Linked DNA regions of Rhinolophus ferrumequinum. The protein of the gene in region 1 binds, or shares a complex with, the protein of each later gene. Links are inferred from orthologs where the notes say so. Each region holds a gene or a part of one and is shown on either strand. Other genes may lie near its edges. The genes, in order: CACNB3 and CACNG1.

The links.
Region 2: CACNB3 (region 1) and CACNG1 share a complex: the UniProt entries of both Homo sapiens proteins name them as parts of the calcium channel complex. The link is inferred for Rhinolophus ferrumequinum from reciprocal best matches to the Homo sapiens genes CACNB3 and CACNG1.

The regions. Positions count from the first base shown.
Region 1 is NC_046293.1:49,938,492-49,948,353, forward strand, and holds the start of CACNB3 (voltage-dependent L-type calcium channel subunit beta-3), read left to right. Parts: upstream 1-5,440; 5' UTR 5,441-6,111; coding exon 6,112-6,156; intron 6,157-9,862. UniProt on the Homo sapiens protein: Regulatory subunit of the voltage-gated calcium channel that gives rise to L-type calcium currents. Increases CACNA1B peak calcium current and shifts the voltage dependencies of channel activation and inactivation.
Region 2 is NC_046304.1:43,755,476-43,765,429, reverse strand, and holds the start of CACNG1 (voltage-dependent calcium channel gamma-1 subunit), read left to right. Parts: upstream 1-5,970; 5' UTR 5,971-6,171; coding exon 6,172-6,406; intron 6,407-9,954. UniProt on the Homo sapiens protein: Regulatory subunit of the voltage-gated calcium channel that gives rise to L-type calcium currents in skeletal muscle. Regulates channel inactivation kinetics.

The DNA.
Region 1 (9,862 bases):
AGAGAAGGGATAAAGGCTTCCTGGGAAGCTCTAGGGGCCATATGCTGGCTTAAGGACCTGAAGGGGCCAGCACTAAGGTATGGCTCCCAGAAATGTGTGCAGGCTAGAGGCCCCTCTTAGCAGGGTGACAGATACTGTAAGGTCAGCAGGAGATGGAGACCTGAGTGAGAAAATGCAGGGAGGAAAAGGGTGTGGGTCCCAGACAGAGCCCAAAGAGGGTTGTTTTTGCCAGTCATCTGGGGGGATCTTGGGGGGCCAGCTAAGAGAGGACAGTTCTGGGGACCTGGGGGCTGGGCTCCCAGCTCTAGCTCTGAGGTTCCTACCTTCTCTTCCTGGCAGAAGGGAGAGGGGTGTGTGATCCAGCAGCTGGAGTGAAAATGAGAAAAAGTGAAGGTTGCAGAGCTGCCTCTATTCACCTCAGATTCCCTCTGATAGGTTCAGAGAGAAGTCATTGATATTTCTATTTTAAAGAAAGGAGTGGAGAGAGATGGTGTTCTAGGCTGTAGGTTCTCAAAGAGTGGAGGGAAGGAAGGAGGGAGGGAGAAGCCAGGGACAATTGCTTGACTTGGCCAGCACCCCCCACCCCACCCCCCTTCTCCTATGGAAACTAAAGCTGCCCCAAGGCCCAGAAGAGCTAGTCCATTAGCTGTGGTCAGCGGGGGAGTATGGGGGAGGGAGGGCTCTCTCCCTTCAGGTCTTAATGCCAAATGAAAGGGAACGCTTCTGCTCCCTCTATTAGAGCCAAAAAAAAAAAAAAAAAAACCAAACAACAAAAAACAAACATAAAAACCTCTATGCACATTTTTACAAAAACATACACAACCTCTATGTCTCGTCTGAATAGTTGAAGCTGAGTGACTTGGGGGTAGGTAGGTGGTAGGGGAATCCTTGGACTCACTGGACTACACCACAGAGGGAGGGAAGTGACTTCCCAAAGCGCTTTCCCGGTTAAGTCCAGCTTGAGGAGGAGCTGGGGGTGGAGAGGAGAATTAATTCTCCCCCAATTTAGCTCCCTCTGGAATGAGGGCAATTGGAGGATCAGCTAAACACAGAGGGAGGGATGTCTTCCAAGATCCCCAGGGTATAGGAGGATTGAGGGGAGGGATACCAGGAACCACCCGGGCAAGGGAGTTAAAAGGGCGAGGAGGGCAGTGAAGCGCCCTGGACCTGAAAGGAAAGAGTTCTAGCTGGTGCTAAGGAGAAGTTGGGGACCCGGGTCATTCAGCTTCAGGGTGTGTCCGTTTCCACAAGGGGATCTACGACACCCTCCCGGCCCCCTAGCCGTCCTCTTTGGTATGGAGAAGAGTCCAGCATCGGGGTGCTGGGGGTGTGGAGGAACCAATGAGAGGCTGATCCGTTCAGAGGGTGCAGGGAGAGAGCTGGCTGGGGATACACCCCTGCTCCCCCCTTCCCCCGCCAGAACTTGGGCTTGTCCTGTTTGACGTGCCCGCCGAAGGGGGCGGGAGGGGTACCGACCCGAGGAGCCGTCCCACGACTGTGTACTCCCGGCCGCCCGGCCTGGCCCTACCGGGACGCTGCCAGGCTCAGCCTTGTCGCCTCTGGAGACCAGGATGGAGGTAGGAGGGATCTAGAGCTCCAGGGGGACCAAGTATCTAAAAAGAGCCCCACAGGAGTGGGAATAGAGTGCAGCCTGGAGTCTCCATACTAGGGGTCTGGAAATGGGACCGCAGCTCCTGGAAAGACGCGAGGGAGAGAGGTTTATCCCGGGCTTCGGTGGGGGTCGGGCTCGGAGCTGCGCACCCTCTGCTCCGGCCAGGGCAGCGCCTCCTACTGGTAGGGCCGAACTCCTGCCTGCGGACAGAAAGGACCCCCGGGCCGGTGCCGCCACCTGGAGGGCTTGTGCCGCCACCCGGCTAGTGAGTCCAGGGGGCGCTGCAGCCGGTGGGGGAGGAGCCGCCAAGCCTCACTCTTTGCCTTCACAGGCTGAGTCCCGCGGCGCTAGCACCTAGGAGAGAGCAGTGACGGTAGAGATTCCCCAGGCGCCGGGCGCGTCCTGGTTAGACTGTCTCCAATTCGATCCCGCAGGAGCCACCGGGTTTGGGCCTGGGACGGCGGATGGACGTGGCTTCCCCGAAATCCAGAGGGGGCGCCTTGACGCTGGGGCTAGCTAGCAGTACATGAGCGTTCTTTTTCGATCCATTCCTCTGCTGAGGTCGGTCGGAGCCGCCACCGGGACCAGGGTGCTTTCCTTTCTCGGGCGCTGGAGGCTGGGCGTGGGAGCACCGAGCTGGGGTCAGGGGATCAGAACCTTCTGACCGAAGCTCCAGAGTCGGGCAGCCCTTGAGCTACTCACGCCCTTCTGCCTGCGGCGGTGGGAATTCCTGAGTCCCTTTTCTGGGGAGGGGATAGAGGAAGAAGTGAGGGTGGGCAGGCGGAAAAGGGATGAGAGCTTTATGGATGGAAGGACAGTGGGAGGCAACCCGATAAACAGAGAACAGGAACCGTAGAGAGGAAGAAGATGAGACGGAAATGGAGAGAGCAGGACTGAAAGGCGACGGGAGAGGGCGAGAGTGACAGAGAAGGCGAGAAAGGGAGAGAGGGAGGAAGGGAGGGAAGAGGAAAGGGGGAGGGAACCTGGAGAGAGGGAAGGGAGCAGGCGGTGGAGCCAGGCGGGCGTGGGGCGAGGCCAGGCGTACAGGCAGCAGCCCTTGTGCAGAGCTGCGGCCGGGTCCTGCTCCCGCCTCGGAGCCCCTGGCCCCGGGGAGGGGGAGAGGCCGCTAGTCCGGTCTATGTCTTTTTCTGACTCCAGTGCAACCTTCCTGCTGAATGAGGTAAACGGGGGGGGGGGGCCCCTCCCCAGGGGTGGGAGAAAAGCCCCACTCCAAGCTAGGAAAAGGGCCGTATTTGGGGGAGACTGCAGTGATGGAGAGGGAGGGAAACCAAAGGTGAGGCTAAGGGTGAATGAGGGGGTAAGAAAAAAAGGAGCAGACAGAGCTGGCAGCCTCGAAGCACTGGGACTGGGATAGGAGAGGACTGACTGGGGAGCTAGAAAAGAGGACAGAGAGAGGAGGGCTCTGCCAAACTCCCCCCACCCAACCCTCCCCAGGTTCCCTGGGGGCAGCCTTGCAGCTAGAACATTGGGATATTTGGTTTGGTCCAGATCTTATAGACTGCTGTGGAGGACTTCCCAGAGGTCCTAGCTCCTGCCTCAGTTTCCTCATTCAATGATCAGGGACTGGAATCTGCTCCGCTTCTTGGTACACTTATAGGAGAAGCTAGAAAGTATTCTAGAGGTTCCCAAAACTCCAACTCCCAAACCTGGTTATTCAGGCTTTCCTCCTATGTCCTGCTTCCTTGCCTTGGGTACCTGCTAGCTGCCAGTCTAACAGCTCTCTCCTAATAAGAGGAGGGAAGGAGGAATCCTCTCCTGGAATCCGTTTTTCTTTTCCTTTTTTTTTCCTCAGCTCTCTTCCCTTATGCTCAGTCATGGGAAAGAAAAGGGGTTAGGGGCCACAAGACACTGACAGGCACATGTCTTTTTACAGGACAGAAAGTCACTAGGTTGGCATGAAAACTGGAGTAGACAGGTGTGGGTGAGGTGAGAAGTGGAAGGGGGTATTGAGTAGCAACTCAGAGATAAGGGAGAGAGAGAGGCTCTGAAGCCGTGTGAGACCCAGGGGATGGACCCAGGTAAGAGGAACTTGAACCTATCTCCTGGGGGTGGTTGGCATAGCAACTCATGCTTCAGATGCTTCAGGAGGGAGACCAAAGGAGACTTAGACACCATTGTCCTGTATGGGGATGCTGTCTTTACAACAAGTTGTGTGAGGAAGGAATGAAGCTCATAGCAGATCCACTGTTACCTACAGTCCCTGGGATGCCCTGGTGGTGGGGATTCCCAAAAGGAGAGGCCAGGAGAGTGGATTCAAAGATGGGGAGAGAAGCAGATGCCTCAGCAGCTGTCTTCTTCATTAGAGTTACCTCCCAGGAGAGGGCACGTTGAGGGTCATATTCTCTTACACCTCATGCCTTCTTTTCGCCCCTCTGGAAGAACGGAAGGAATTGAAGAGGCAGAGAATAAAAAAGGAGCATATAGGGATTCTGAGGAACTGGGAAAGGAAACAAAAGTGAGAAGACAGCGTGTCTGGGAACTTCCAAGACAGAAGAGTCCAATATATGACCAACCTCCAAATGATGCTGGACTCAGGAGAGGGAACTGGGAAAGCGGACTGCCTCTCCCAGTAGTGATTGGTCCCCTCAGCCATTGGGGCTCCAACAAAATTGTTTGCCAGATCCAGCAGGAAGAAGAGGCTGTGCAGGGCTGAACTACACCACTCACAGGGTTAGACAGACTGAAGGCAGACTAAAGACGGTCTTAAGAGTAGGCCCTTTCTCTCTTTTTCTTGCCAACAGAACAAGTGACATAAGTAGGAAGCCAGTTGGTTTGGATGGTCTTTCTCTCCCATGAACAGTGCTTTCTCCCATAGGTCTCATCAAACCCTGTCAGTTTTGGTTTTCTAATTCCACTGTAGCCCAGGAATGTAAAGGGATGAGTAGATTCTTGATTCACCCTCCTAGGGGTGAAAAACTGGGAATGGAGAAGGATTGAGCTTCGAAGTTCTCCAGGTGGTAACCTTCTGTCATCTCACATCCCCCTCTAGGTGGTGGGTGCGAGGGGGGCCCATAGGCAGTCAAAATTCAAAGGAATACTTTTGCTCTGGAGATGGAAAAAAAGGAGGGAGCTCCAATAGGTGGATCTTTGGGGAAATTGGCTCAAAATAAGGGCTGCTGCTGCTCTGTCTCTAACCTCAAGTCTCAATGCTCCTTTAAAGGAGACTGACTGGTGCAGAGTGGTACCTGTGGCTACAACGGGGATACCGGCCACTCCAACCCCATCCTTTTGCTAAGGAGAAAATCTGGCCTTAAGCTAATGACTCTGGCCAGATTTGTCCTTCCCCCTCCCGACCCCAGTCTGTCCAGGACCCCACCTTCTGTCACAGCCACAATCCCCCTACCTCCACCTTCTGGTTTCTTTCCCGGTCCCTTAGGCTCACCTAAGACAGCCCCTCCCTGTCCCAATTCCCACGGGTGCCTTGGCAATGCCTGGCACAGTCTTCGGCGAGGAAGTGAGTAAGGGAACCCCCCATCCTGGCCAGACTAGGATGAAATCTGCCTGCGCACCAGGTGTAGGGCGGCCGGACCCAAAACCTGCCCTTTTGCACGGGTTGGGCGACACGGCCCCTTGCTGCAGGGTGCAATGAGAGGGCCGAGCACCTGGTGTGGCAGGAGCTACTTTCGTGGCATTGACGTGGAGTCGCCAAACCCATTCCTCCCCAGTGCCATTACGGGGTTCGCTTTTGGAGTCTCAGGGACCGCCAGGGCCCAGACACGCCTCCCGCTCACCTGGGGCCCCTCCCCCGTCTGCGCCTGCCCCAGCCCCGCCTCTTCTGTCTCCCCATTTTCCTGTCTCCCCCGCCTGTCTCCTGCCTCTATCTCTCCTTTCTCCCTCTTCTGCCTCCCAATAACCTGCGCCCGCTTCTTTCTCGGCTCGGGTCTCCTTTCCCTCCGCCTCTCCGCTCCCCCTCCCCTCCACCGCTCCAGCCCTTTGTTTCCCGGCGGAGTATTTCCTGGGTTGCCGAGCGTCTCAGTCTCCGCATCTCTCCTCGCCCCGCCTTCTCCCAGCCTGGATCCGCCCGCCCTGTCTCTCCTCCCCTTCCTCCCCGCCGCCCCTCGGGTCCGTAGGTGCTGGGGGACCCACCTTCTACCCAGCTCCCGTCCGCTACCCTCTCCCAGCCGGGTCTCGGGCTCCCCGGGTGGCGGGCGCCCCAGTCGCCGCCCCCGCCTGCTCCCGGGGAGGGGGGTCAGGTGGGCGGGCACTATTGTTGTAGGAGCCAGCGCCAGATTCCTCAGCCGCGCTCGGGGTGGGACTGGCTGGGTTTGGGGGGTGGGGTGGGGGTAAGCGGTGATTTGAGCTCCGAGCAGCTGGTCTTCGCGGCTCGCTCCCTCCTTCGCGCTCTCTGGTTCTGCGCCGCCGCCCGCAGGGCTGCGGGGCTCGGTGGCATCTATCGGGCGCGGCCCGCTGTCCTCGCCCCTGCCTCCAGGCCGCTCCCGCCCCCGGCGCCGCTCGCTTCCCCCCACCCGGACTCCCCCATGTATGACGACTCCTACGTGCCCGGGTTTGAGGACTCGGAGGCGGTGAGTGCCCACGATGAGGGTGGGGGTGGGGAAGTTGGGGTGACACTTGCTCTCCCTTGGACCCTTCTCCCAGTCCAGGACTTTGAAAAAACGTGGCGGGGAAGAGCGTTGCGGGGGGTTGGGGGCGCTCCAGGAAATTGGGGCGATGATTTTCGTGCCGCGGGCTCTTCGGTACCCCAATCCTAGACCAAGGAGCTCGGGGTGTGTGCAGGGAGGGAGTAGTGTGAGGGGAAGGCTCGAGCAAGTGGCTCCAAAGCCCAGAACAGAGGGTAGAGGGAGGAAGGGCTAGAGACTGAGGGAACAGGGGCTTTAGAAAGGGCACACGACATGTCTCAAGTTCCCACAGGTGGATTGATCGGGTCTGAACACAACCGCTTTCAGAGGAGAAGCTGAATTTCTTGGGGAGAGGGACAATCCAGACCTCCCATGACACAAATACAGGACAAATTTAGGGAGCCTGAGAGAACACCAGAGAATCGGGTACCAGCCTCTTCAGACAGAAAGATCACAAAACTTGAAGACCTCCATTATTCCTTCCCCCTTCCATCCTGAGCTTGCCTCATCTCTTCACCCTGCCTTTAGCCCAGCTTCTCTCCCAGGCTGCAAAGTGGGCACCCAGCACATGGGTGGGCCAGCTGACTGAGCCCCATCCTGTCCGTGCCTCCTGCTGAGGCATCCTCAGAACAGCAGGCACCCTGAGCTCCTCTCAGCATGGAGGACCTGGAGCTGAAGCCAGAGGAGCTGAGGGCCTGGGGATGGAGAGGAAGCTCTTTGCTCAGAGAACCAGGCAACCGATAAATATTTAATTCTCCTTTTTGCTTTTATCTCCTGACCCACTGAGACAAATCAGCTCATTAGTCAGTGATTCCCGGAGCTCAGGGAGCATGGAGAGTGACTGGAAGGATGGAGCAAAGATGGGGAGCAGCTTCTCAGTGCCTTCTCTCAAACATCCTGCAAGAAGGCCTCCTTAGAAGAGGACCACTAGATGGCTTGGAAGGGGTCCTTGATAGGTGTGGAGGGTAGAGCACTCCAGGATCGAAAGTGGAGTGTTTGAGTCTTCTCCCATCTCTTGCTGCCCAGCCCAGGATAGATGAGTTCTAGGGCTCAGAATAGGCAGCTATCAGTCCTTTCCTGGGCTCCTGCTGGGCCAATTCCCCATTGGGCCTCTGGGCCTAATTACATGGCAGCTAGAGCAGATGATTTTCAAGGCTCTGGTGGACACCTCTTTGTGACAGTTGAAGAGACAGCTGGCATGGCCCAGGGTGCCAAGGTGAGCTTGAGAACAAACCTTCCTGCTTGGCTGGAGGGCCCTAGAAGATTCTTCCCATCACTGGTAGTAAGGCAAGAGCTGTTTCAAGGGAAAGACTGACATGTGGGTGGCGTTGGGGGCAGCCCGCTAACCCATTGCTCACTTCTCACCCCTCTCTGGGCCCTGGATCACCCTCCCCAACTTCCCTTTCTCTTGCCTGGCTCCTTGCTCTCCCTGAGGCCCCCTCTGAAGCAGTAGGAGGGAGATCAGGCTCTAAATAAAGCCACTGGCTCATCTCCCTCCTCTCCTTCCCCCGTGCCAGGCAAGAGTGGAGCTGCAGCCTGCCCACACACTCACCAAGCAAGGGGGGCACCACTAGGGCACTGTGCCAACTCCTGGCAGCTCCAAAGTACTGAGCCTCTGGCTGCTCTGGCATAGTGGGGTAGGGAAGGCAAGACCCCAGAGTAGGCCTGGAAGGGCAGCCCTGACCTCCCCAAGTGATACCAGAGCATGAAAGATGGTGAACTCTGAGGACTTGGGAATAATAGACAGGGGGTTCCATTCTGAACCTGACTCATTAAACATTTAGGGAGAGATTCTATCCTTCCCATCCTAGAATGAGAGGCCAGGTAACCCAGATACCCCAGGAGGGACATTAAGATGACTAAATTAGGCTGAGAGCCTGGAGAGCCGAGATAAAGGCCAGACTCCTCTTCCAGCACAGGTCAGGGCATCTAAGAGGCATCTGATGGATACTTATCAAAGTGAATGATCATCCGGCCTTACCTCCTGCCTCCTGGCCTGTTGTCCCCTGTTCCCTTCGTTCAGCTGTCTCCTACATCTAAGACCCCTCATACATCTAAGACCCCTGGAAGGAGATCCCACACTCTACTAACAATGCAAAGGTTCTTTCTGGGGCTCAGCACCCTTTATCCTACTGCCAAGCCAGCCTTATTTTCTTCTCAAGAGAGATGAGGAACAGCAGGCAGAATCTCCTCCTCTGTAAAAGGAGACTTTCCCACCTGTGCTGTCTTTGTGTCTTCCGTCTACCCCAGACATTGACTTTAGCTTACGATCTAGAGCCTGGGCAGATATCAAGCTGACCTGCCTTCTTGCCTATGGTGGGACTGGGGCAGAGGGCATGGCGACAGCAGGTGTTTGAATCTGTCTTCTCCACTGACCTCTGGCCTCTGCTGCCTTCTGTAGGTGCTCATGCACCGCGGACTTGAAGGAATGTTCCTCAGGTTGAGAATATCCTAAAACCGCTTCTGTTAATACACACACATTCCCACATGGACCCGAACTAGGCTCCTATTTGTCTCTGCCACTTGGACCTCAGAATTGATGGAAGTGCTACTTCAGGCCTCTGATCATAAAGAGGGGAAACTGAGGCAGAAAACAAAAGCTCCCCTTTTCCCTGGGCTGAGAGGGACACCCAGACATCCTGACTTCTACACTCCTGTCCTAAGATCCAGCTTCCTTTACTCAATTGTACGTCTTTCTCACAGCCTTGAAGGTGAGCTCTGCAACCCTCCAAATGCACCCTCGTTGCCCAAAGACCTGCCAATGGGCAGGACTCAGACACTCTTCTTGGCTAAGGTTACCAAAGACCCCACCCCTACATCCTCAGGGTACTGCTCCCCTGGCTGGGTTGCCGGGCACCAACATGGCCTTCCTCCAGGATAGGCCCCTTGGGGGAGGGGTGGGGAGATATGGGCCAGGTGGTGGGTGTGGCCCAGCCTCACACACCCAGGGAGATAGCTTTGTGTTGCCTTCTTAGTTGGTGTCCTTTGCTGCCCACACCTGGCCAGTTGCCCCAGCAGGTGTGAGAGGAAAGAAGATGGGGGGTGGGGATGGGCGGAGAGAGTATAGAGGAAGTAACTTCCAGGAGTTGGTAGCTCTGTGTCCCCTTCAACCTGGAAAGGTAGGGACTGGGGAAGATGAGACCTAAGGGGTGGATGGCTGTATCCTGACACTCAGGACCAGGGCCATGCCAACCAGCATCTCTTGACTGTTCCCAGCTGGCTGTATTCCTGCCAGGCATTTTAAAGGGATAAAGTCTAGGCTGCTTTGCAGGCTGATGTGAAAAAGAGAGCTCACTGGGTCGCCTGGATTCAGAATCATCTTCAATATATCATCTTCAGCACATCTCCCTTCCCTCCGCCTGGGAGGATGTGGTAGAGGGAAGAAAAGGGAGGAAGGAGGGAAGTGAAGGCTCTATTCAAAGCTACAGTATTAATAGTCTTGGGGGGAGGGGCCCAGATCTTATCACATGGACTGGGGGTCTTTCCTACAGCACTAGAGGAATTATGGTCCTTCTCAGGGAAATTGGAGGGACCATTGGGGTGTGGCCACCCCTATGGACATGGAGAGGCTGGGGTTCATGGAGGCACTACTATAGGGGTCAGAGAGTGCTTCTATATTCCCTTCCCACCTGAGCTCAGGGGTCACAGCCTC
Region 2 (9,954 bases), on another chromosome or scaffold:
TCTAGGTCCCTAGTGTGGAGCTAGCAAAGGGGAGAGGCCTGGGGGGGGAAGGGGAAGAAGAAGGGAGAGAAAGGGAAGAGAATTGGAGGCAGGAGGGGAGGCCCCCCTGTGTGACTTCAGCTCCTTGCACTGGTTCCTAATATAGCATCCCCGACTGTCCAGTCCTAGAGATGAGGGCAGGGGAGGGACTGCCCAGGGACCTTAGAATCCAGAGGGGCAGATGGGGCAGATATACCTGATACAGATGTTTTTAAACTTGCAGCTTCCAGCAAAACTACCAGGGCAACCTCGGGAACAGAAGTATGATATCAAAGAGGGTTAGGGACCCACCTCCTTGTGCTTACAATTGCAGGAAAGGGGGCTTGGAGGGACCTCCATCCTGACCTTCGTCCCTTGGTATGTTTCCTTGGAGATACAGTAACCCCTGCGGGATCTCCAGAATTCACAAATTAAGTTATAAATAACCAGATCATTTTAAAAACAATATACTTATGTTTTTTAAAAAACATTATACTTATTTTGTTAATTCTAAAAAGTATTACAGCTTACCTAAAAATACATGAAAAATACAGCACAGTTAAAGAAGAAAACAATGTCAGCCATCATTCTACTACCCACGCCATAAGCACGGTTAACATTTCAGGGTACCCAAATGTGTGTGTGGATACGGCTTAGTCCCCTGTCTCTGTCCACTGTTTTTCATCATGAGAATCTTCCCACCTTTCAATATTCCTCAAAACCATAATCTTTAAGGGCTGCATAAAACAGAGATATCACCATTTATCTAACGTGTCCTATTGCCGGATGTGGCTTATTTGCTCCCTAGATCATAAATGGAATCTGAATGAGAACAAAGTACTGGGATACTCAGGATGCATCCAGTTAAGATCTGACAACTTCTCACTGTGATCTTCTGGTCCAGATTTATGCTAGAGGCTGATGGAAAGATCCCCCTCCAAACACTGTCAGGATCTTGTCTACGTTCTCACCTGGGTGTCTGGGCTCTGGGGATAACAGTCGCCCCTCCCACACTCCCTGCCAGGTGGCTAGGGAGCAACCTCACACCAGGTTCCTCTCAGACGGCCTTACACTTAGCCATCCTCAGCCACACAGAACAGAATTCCTCCCAGTCACAGACTGCATCTGTTAGTAGGGCTGTGTAACAAATTACACCAAACCTTAGTGGCAATAAACGAGTATTAAATATGGTCACAGAGTCTTACCTCTGCCTGATAGAAAGACAGGCTCAGGATGGCTTCTCTCTGCTCCAGAGTGGAGCCTCGGCTGGAAGGCTCAATAGCTAGGAGCTGGCTTCATCTAAAGGCTCGTCTGCGCACATGTCCTGCAGGTGATGCTGGTTAGTGGCAAAGTCCTCAGCCTGACTATGTACACGTGGCTTCTCTGGGTGGCCTGAAGTTCCTCACAGCATGGTGGCTGGGTCCAAGGGCAAGGGTCCCAGAGCAAGAGAGAAAGGTGGCAGTCTCAGAAGTCACATAGCATCACTTCCTCTGTACTTGACGTATTAGAACAGTCAAAAACCTGCCCAAGTTCAAGGGGAGAGGAAATAGGTTCCACCTGTTCATGGGGAGTGACGAGGTTCTGGAAGAACATGTGGGAGCAGAAATGGTGCTGTGGCCACTTTGGGAAGATATAATCTGTCCCCCTTGTCTCTCCAGGACCCTCACCTGGCTCTAGGCTTCTTCTCCACCCTCCAACCTTTCCATCCTCCATCTCCCTCTGGAACTCCACACATCTTAAAATCTCCTTACTGAGGTCTCCCTCCACGTGCTGGGATCAATGAAACTATCCTCTCTTCCAAGGACACTCCTTTCCCCAGTATCCTGGTGAAAGCTGTCCATATTTCTGCTGGGGTTCCCTGCACAGGTTCCCAATGTAATGCTCCTGGCTGCCCAGTCCCAAGAGGTGTGGGGCTGGAAAAGCAGAAAGGGGATCTGAGGGACCTTAGGATCCAGAGGAAGACTGGGGCAGATACACCTGATACAGATATTTTTAAACTTGCAGCTTCCTACAAAACTGCTGGTGCAACCTCAGGAACAGAAGTCTGCAATCAGAGAAGGTCATGAACTCACGTCCTTGGATTTATAATTGCAGGACAGGGGAAGGTGGGGGCGCTGATACCGCCAAACCATCACTCCTCCCCCCTCCTGGGGAAAAGCCTTCTCTGAGGGCCTGGGTAGACCATCCTGAACCCTTTCTCATCACTGTCATTTCCCCAACCCCGTTCCGCCCACACCTTTATGTTCATCAGGAACTTCGCATCTAGCTCAAAGCCCTCTTCTGCTCCCCAAGTCCTACCACCATCAAACTGAGCCACATCAACATCTGTGGGGCCGGCCATTCCAACTCCCTGGCCTCACAGCTCTGCCTTCTCACCTCCCTTGCCCTTCATCTCCAACCTGGATCTTCTCATCAGCCCTGACTGTCCCCCCTGTAATCTTCAGGGCTACGTCCTCCTCTCTGACCGCAACTTCCAGTGCTCCCATTTCCTTCACCACTACAGCTGTTCTCCAACCTCATCAAACCCTTCCGGGCCTTGACCTCTCAATTTCCTCCTAATATGTTGACACCTCCTCGTTGCCGGGCATCCTAACCAGCCCAGACATGGCAAGTCATCATTTAAACTCACCCTTGCCGATGCCCTCAGTTCCCTTGGGCCCTTTTCTTTCTATCTTTTCTCTCCTGAAAGAGCCTCAGCCCTCTTTCAATCTCACCTTCCATCTTCCCCATCCCTGCACCTGAGCTAAGAAGTGATGCCAGAGAACATCAAGCAAGTTCAAAATCGATGCTTGTGGTAGACAGAATAACGGCCCCTAAAATGTCCAAGTCCTAATCCCTGGAACCTGTGACTATGTCACTTGACACGGCTAACGGGACTTTGCAGGTGTGATTACATTAAAGACAGGGAGGTTTTCCTGGATTATCACCTTAACCACACGGGTCTGTAGAAGGGAAAGAAGAGGGAGGCAGGAGAGTCAGAGATGAAGATGCGATGACAGAAGCAGAGGTCAGAGTGATGCGATTAACTGCTTTGCAAATGGAAGGCTTCTGGACAGAGGCACCGGATAGAATTGGAGGCAGCAAGCCTGATGCAACAGAGAGTCCCAGATGAACAGTGACAGGAGGCAGAGGGAGTGGAGTAAAAGGTTGGGACCAATTGGGTGGTGCCTTGCTTTTTTATACAGGATCTTAAGATCAAACACGCAAGGCCATTTCTTAGCCCAATTAAGCCTGAGCTCAAATTAGATCAGCGTATCGCCAAAGAGGGGTTACTGGGCCCCCACCCAGGCGTAACCTGGTCCTAGCTCTGAATGAGGCCCACCTCTGGGAGGTGTTTTCTTTCCCCTAGTTATGTCTGGTCCTTCTTGGGAAAAGATTAGTCACTTGGGATAAATGGAAACGGGTTCATCTGAATGAGGAAAATACAGACAATTACCAAATTTCTCAGTGTGGCACATCTACTTTGAAGATAATGTCCTATCTCAGGAGGCTGCTGTGACAGGCAGGCAGAACTTGGTCGCAGAGGTGACGACAGTGCCTTCCTGGGGTGTCCCTCTGCACCTGGAGGTAAATTAGCCATTAATTCAAGCTGTCCCGGGGCTCCGTGTGGCCTTAAGCTACATAGAAATGTCCTTTGGATCACCCAGTGGAGTAAATTATCTAAGCTTCTATCTCCTTCTTCTTTCCATCCATGAGTCCATCATCCATCCATCAGTCATTCAACAAACATTTATGGAGATCCCATCCTGGGCTCAGACCTAGGGGGCTTCTCTAAGGGGACCCAAAATGAATACATAATACGGTCTCCCCGTCTCTATCTTCCCATCAGAGAAAGCTGATCCATCTGCAGTCTATCGATAATAATAACAGCCATCCTGGATCAGTTGCCTACTGTATTAGTCAGCTCAGGCTCCCATAACAAAATACCACAGGCTGGGTGACCTTAAAAACAGAAATTTATTTCTCACAGCTCTCCCTTCAGTCCTAGATCAGGGTGCCAGCCTGGGTGGGTTCTAGTGAGAGTCTCGGCTTTCAGCTTCTCACTGAGTCCTCACACGGTAGAGAAAAAGAGAGAGAGGAAGCCCCCTGGTGGCTCTTCTTAGAAGGACACTAATCGCATCACGGGGCCCCACCCTCATGACCTCATCTAACCCTAATCACCCACCAAAGGCCCCGTCTCCAGATACCATTACACTGGGGTTTGGGTTTCAACATATGAATGGGGGGGGGGCGGATAATTCAGTCCATAGCACCTACCACAGGCTAAACTGATAAATCCATTATCTCTACTCCTACAGCAGCTCCCCAGCCAGCTGCCATTGCCCTCATTTTATAGATGAGGAAAGGGCAGTTTAGAGAGGTTAATGGCTTGCTGGAAGCCATACAGCTAGAGATTGGCAGAGCGGGGACCTGACCCTGGGGCTGTCCGTTCCATCACTGGCAGGCTGACTCCCAGTCCCTAAGAAGCCATCTTTCCTGATGACCTGGAAAAGGTAGGACCTGTGTGGAGGACGTTGACGTCCCCCAGCCCTGGCTCCCAGCAAATGCTGGAGCCCCCTTCCTGGCCCAGCAAGGCCCTGGGAAGTGCCAAGCGAGCAGCCTGGCAGTGGCTTCCACGAGCAGAAATGGTCTGTTTGAAGGAGCTTTTAGTAAATGAGAGAGAGAAAGGAGACCTGCCTGCAGTGCCTGGCACTGCCAATGCCGTGGGAGATGTACAGCCCGACTACTTCTGAAGGAAGAGACATCAATCTTTCCTGGCTGGGTTGGAGGACTCAGGACCCCTGCATGTGGCACAAACCTGCCCCCCACTGAGGGAAGGTGCAGCCTGGCTGTCTGAGGAACCTGCAATGTGGGTGCAGCTGACACTGCGTGGACCCCGGGTGTCGGGCCCCCACCCGGAGGCCAGGATTTTGAAGCTCAAAGCCCTGGCCAGCTCAGGGGTTTATTTGTGGCTATGCATTAACCTCAGATACACCCCAAAAGAGGCACCTGGTGAACTGAGGAAGAAGAGGCCGAACCCAGGAGGGGTGTAGGGGCCTGGAGACCAGCCTGGGGGTCATGTGGGCAGACAGGCCCTCGGATGGTGGTCCCAAACTTTCACGTCTTCTGCTGCCTCTGCTCACCCATTAGCCTCACAGTAGTCACCCATAAATCAATCTACTTCTGTTCTTTTTTACTTAAATGTATTTATTTTGTAAATGGAAACATAACTGGAAAATCTTTATTACCTACAATTAATAGAGGTAAAACTAAAACAGTAAAACCAAAACAGAACTACAGTCAGGTCCCGCTGGATTCCGTGTCCTCTCCACGCTTTGATTTGCAAGTGTCAGCAAGGTGGTAAAGACTTACTAACCCTGAACGGGGCTTCTCTTCTGGACCAAATAGGAGAGACGGGAGAAGGGAACCAGAAATAATGTTCTCAGGCTGGGCAGTGTCCGGCCACGCCAGGCCCAGGAACCACCTGAAATCTTCCTGCCGTTTGGGGGATGGCATAGGCCTTGAGCTAAAGCTCTTGCCTGAGTAGTGGGCTCCAGAGGCCCTGGCGGGGCGGATCCCCAAGGTGTCCCTAGGCAGGATTGTGGGTCCCCCAGGCCTCCCGGACAAGGACCCACTCACCCTGCCCAGTGTGATAACCGAAAGCTGTGCCACCGTATCTCCCAGGGTCCCCTGCCCTCACCCAGCAGTGCCCTTTCTCCTTCAGGCCAGAGCAGGCAGACTCCACACTGAGTCTCCCTGTTGCTTATGCCTCACTCCCTCCCACCTCAGGTGTCCTGAGCTGCCACTCATTGTAGGTCTCCAGTCACCATCCAGATCCTTCCCTCCTTGCCCCTCCCTGGGGTATTTCTGGCTCCGTGAGAGGAAGACAGCCCTGAAACCCGAGAAGAAGTCATCCTCGGTGACGGTGGCGTGCCTGTCCATGTGCATTAATAGAAGCCTCCCTCAGGCCCCTGTCACGTCTGGGCAGCTGCTCAGCCCCGTCCAGTGTCCCTCTGCCCCAAGGCCAGCCCACTCTGGCTCGGCCAGGCACACTAAACTTAGCTTCCACCTCCTGCACCATCACTGCTGCCACCACCCCAGCCTGGCTGCCACCTGCCCAAGGAGACGCTGCCGCCGGACTCTGTCCAGAGTACACGCTCCTCTGCGACCACCATGTCCCAGATCAAAGCCCTGAAGATCCGCGCCACGCTCTTCTGCATCCTGGTGGGCATCGTGCTGGCCACGGTGGCCGTAGTGACCGACCACTGGGCTGTGCTCAGCCCCCAGGTAGAGCACCACAACACCACCTGCGAGGCGGCCCACTTTGGCCTCTGGCGGATTTGCACCAAGACTATTGTCATGAGCGACAGCAAGGACAAGAGCTGCGGACCCATCACCCTGCCTGGAGGTAACGTACCCAGTCTCTGTCCCCTGTCCCTGCTTCCTGCCCTTTCCCACCCCCCTGGAAAAGTGGCCAGTGGGAAAGAGGGTAGGTTTTCCGGCCTTAGAACAGCCCTCTGCGTCCGGGGAAGAGGATCTGAATTGCATGAGGTTGTGCTGGCCGCCAGAGTTGGGCTGTAAAATGAGGGCATTTGTCTCTCACTATTTCTGTCTTGCTGAGGCTTGGGGCTTTTTACCCAGAGCAGAGGGCTGCTCAGGTGGGACGAGAGGCTCAGGAAAGGAACCATGGACCTGCCAGACTAGGGGCTTCTGGCCCCAGCGGCAGTCACTTTTCTGGGTGTGCCTAGCTCCACTCTCTCCGTGCAAGGACAGGCTAGTGGCCCAATGTCCCCAGGGAAGGGACCTGTGGGGCTGGCTTGTTTCTTCAGGGTATAGAGGCTTCTTTCCCAGCCTCCAGGGTATAGACAGGATCAGCTGCAGAATTTATAGGGCCTGGTGTAAAATGAAAATGCAGGGCTCCTTGTAATTATTTTTAAGAATTTCAAGATGGTGACAGCAGAGCATGAAATCAAGCCTAGGTCCCTTCTGGGTGCAGGGCCTTCAGTGACTGACTACACAGGTCACACATTTGTGAAGCAGGTACCTGGCTATAGATGAGCCACCTGCCTTTTAGTCAGAACTGTCGGTCCTTCCATACATCCTCTCTTGGCTCAGACCCCTTCAGAGTTGGAACGCATTTTCTTCCTCTATAATATAAGCGCATTCCTCGATGTCCTACCATGTGACCAAACGACACGCTGAAGGTGAATTCCTTCTCAATAATACCTGGGTGGGGTATTCTGCAAATTAGGTCTCTTCTGCAAATGTGGAACCCTCTGCACTCATAGCAAATAGAGCACATGCCGAGGGAAGAACGCTGCTTGGAGAATCAGAGTCCAGGGCTCTAGTCATACATTGACCATAACCCCCCCAAATGACGACGGTGGGGTGGGGTGGGGTGACAGCCCATCACAGCCTCTGGCTCCTCCTATGGTGCTTGGGGTCAGCAACATGAAACCCCTTCCAGTGCTTACAAATATCACTCCAAGGCGGCAGGGCATTTGGGTGAGTGTGGTGTCCCACCTGGTTTTCAGAATATTTCCTTCTGTCATTCGACTGGGTGTTCCTTGAAACCTGCCCTTCTAGGAAATCAGTGCCAAGTCTGCACACATCTTGCACTGTATGTGTGGGACAAAGGAACCCAAACCCTGTGCCTCCCTCTTCCCTCCTTCGTCTTCCTTCCCCTCCTGCTGGCTCCAGGGAACTCCTGCCTTGCTTATTCCCACCGGATACTCGCAAGACTTGTAAATACCCAGCTGTCTTGGAAACATTGCGTCCCAGGGCTGAGGGCTTTAAATGACATGAACATGCACTGGAAGGGTATCACATAGCTCAGATGCCCACGCCCCTCGGCCACTGCTGAGCACACCCGTAAACAGATGCATTATCCAGCCAACTCAACTGGGCAGGGAAGGGCAGGGCAGGGTGAGGCAGATTCTCCAGGGACCATGCACGGAAATGCACTGATATGGTCCTGTCCACCTGTCCTTGGAAGCACCTGCCTTTTAAAGTCTGGTGAGTGTACAGAGCAGATGAGGAGGGAGGTGAGCTAAGTCTATACAAGGAAGAGACAGATTGGTGGGAGGTGACCGAATCTGCCACAGGGGACCAACAGGCATGGCTTGGCCTTGAACCTGAGCTGAGTCTATCTCTATGCCTTCTCACTCTGATCCAGAGTGAACCATACTACTCGTGAGCACTGCCTTACCCCAAACAAGCTTCTGACATGCATCCCTGCCTTCTTCCCTTTCCCTTTTCTCTACAATCTTCTTTCTTCCCCAGCCACCCTCCCTGTGCTCTATGGGTTCACTGTTTTCTAGATAGATGAAAAGAGATCACACATGTTCTCTGATTTATTATTAACAACAACGATAATAATAACAACTGCCAACACAGACAGAGCAGTTATCTGGAAAACATTGTTTTCAGTGCTCTATAGATATGAATTACGAGAATATCAGAGAAAAAAAAATGACAGAGTAAGAACCTCCAAAAGTCCTCTCCTCCATAAGAACAATGAGAACATTGGCAAAAATGATCAGCATAAACTTTTTCAGAACTCTGGAAATTAATCAGTCTTGCAGCAATCCAGCAGTGCTTATTCTAGAGAAACGGGTGAACCTCAGTAAGAACAGTGAGCTTTGTGGTGTTTTAACTTGCTCTATTCTTATTTCCACCCCACCCCCAACTCTGTCACAGCGTTGACAACCCCCAGCCTGCAATCACAGTGAAAACCAGCAGCCTGGTAGCCAGCCATCATCAGAGGGGACAGAATGGGCTGGATCTCTTCCAAAGTGTCATTCCCAAAGAGCGGTCATTATTTGATCCGTCTGGTGATTCCCTGCAAGTCCCTGTTTGCAAGGCTGTCTTTATTTGACCTGACTCTGAGCTCCTCCAGGGGAAACAGTCTTTTCCCCGGGCGGGGGGAGTGGGGGGTCATTTGTCAAAAACAATTAGAAACAATTATTTAATATCACAACTGCCTGAGGCAGTAGGTAACAGTTAGGACAAACGATAGGCTAACCAAATAGCTGGAGGATGAGAGATCCACAGGTGGCTTTGAAAAGTTTGGACAGATTCCTTCCTGGGCCTTTAGAAGGCCATGTGTAGGCACAGTGCTACGTGAGAGCGTAGGAAATACCTGAGAAGCCACCCTGAAGCTCTCAGCTCGGACGCATCCTGAAGCTGAACAAGCAGAACGTGAAGGCTAAGGCAGAAATGTAGACTGCTTCACCGACTGCTCTGCTTAGCACGGAGCCCCTCAGTAAAGACTGGGTGATGTATTAGTTCCAGGCATTTTAGGAAACCTCTGTGAGCTGAGCACTAAACTAACTGAGCAGAGATTGTAGTGGCAACACGTGACAAAGAATATAGAATTTACAAAATTAATTCAGAAAAATCACTAAACAAACAACAGGAACAAATGGAAACAGGAACAAACCCTGGGGAAGGGTGGGAATCTGATTTCTAGAGTTTAAACAACTCTGTTGTTTAAATTGTCCAGTTTTAAATTTAAATCTTAAAAAAATTATAAAACATGCAAAGAACTAAAAAGGGATGGCCCACACATAGGGAGAAACAAGCAGCCCATAGATCCTTAAGGAAGCCCAGATATTGGACTTACTAAACAGAGATTTTAAATCACCTGTTTTAGATACATTCAAAGGACTAAAAGAAACCACGTCTAAAGAACTAAAGTAAAAATAAGAATGATGTCTCATAAAACAGAGACTCTTTAGAAAGAGATAGAAATTATTTTTAAGTGACCTAATAGAAATTCTGGAGTTGAGAAGTACACAATAACTGAAATGAAAATGTTCACTAAAGGGGTTCAATAAAAGACCTGAGCAGGCAGAAGAAAGAATCCATGAACTTGAAGATAAGTCAAGTAAGATGAGCGAGTCTGAGGAACAGACAGAAAACAAAGAATGAAGAAAAGAGAACAGAGCCTGAGAT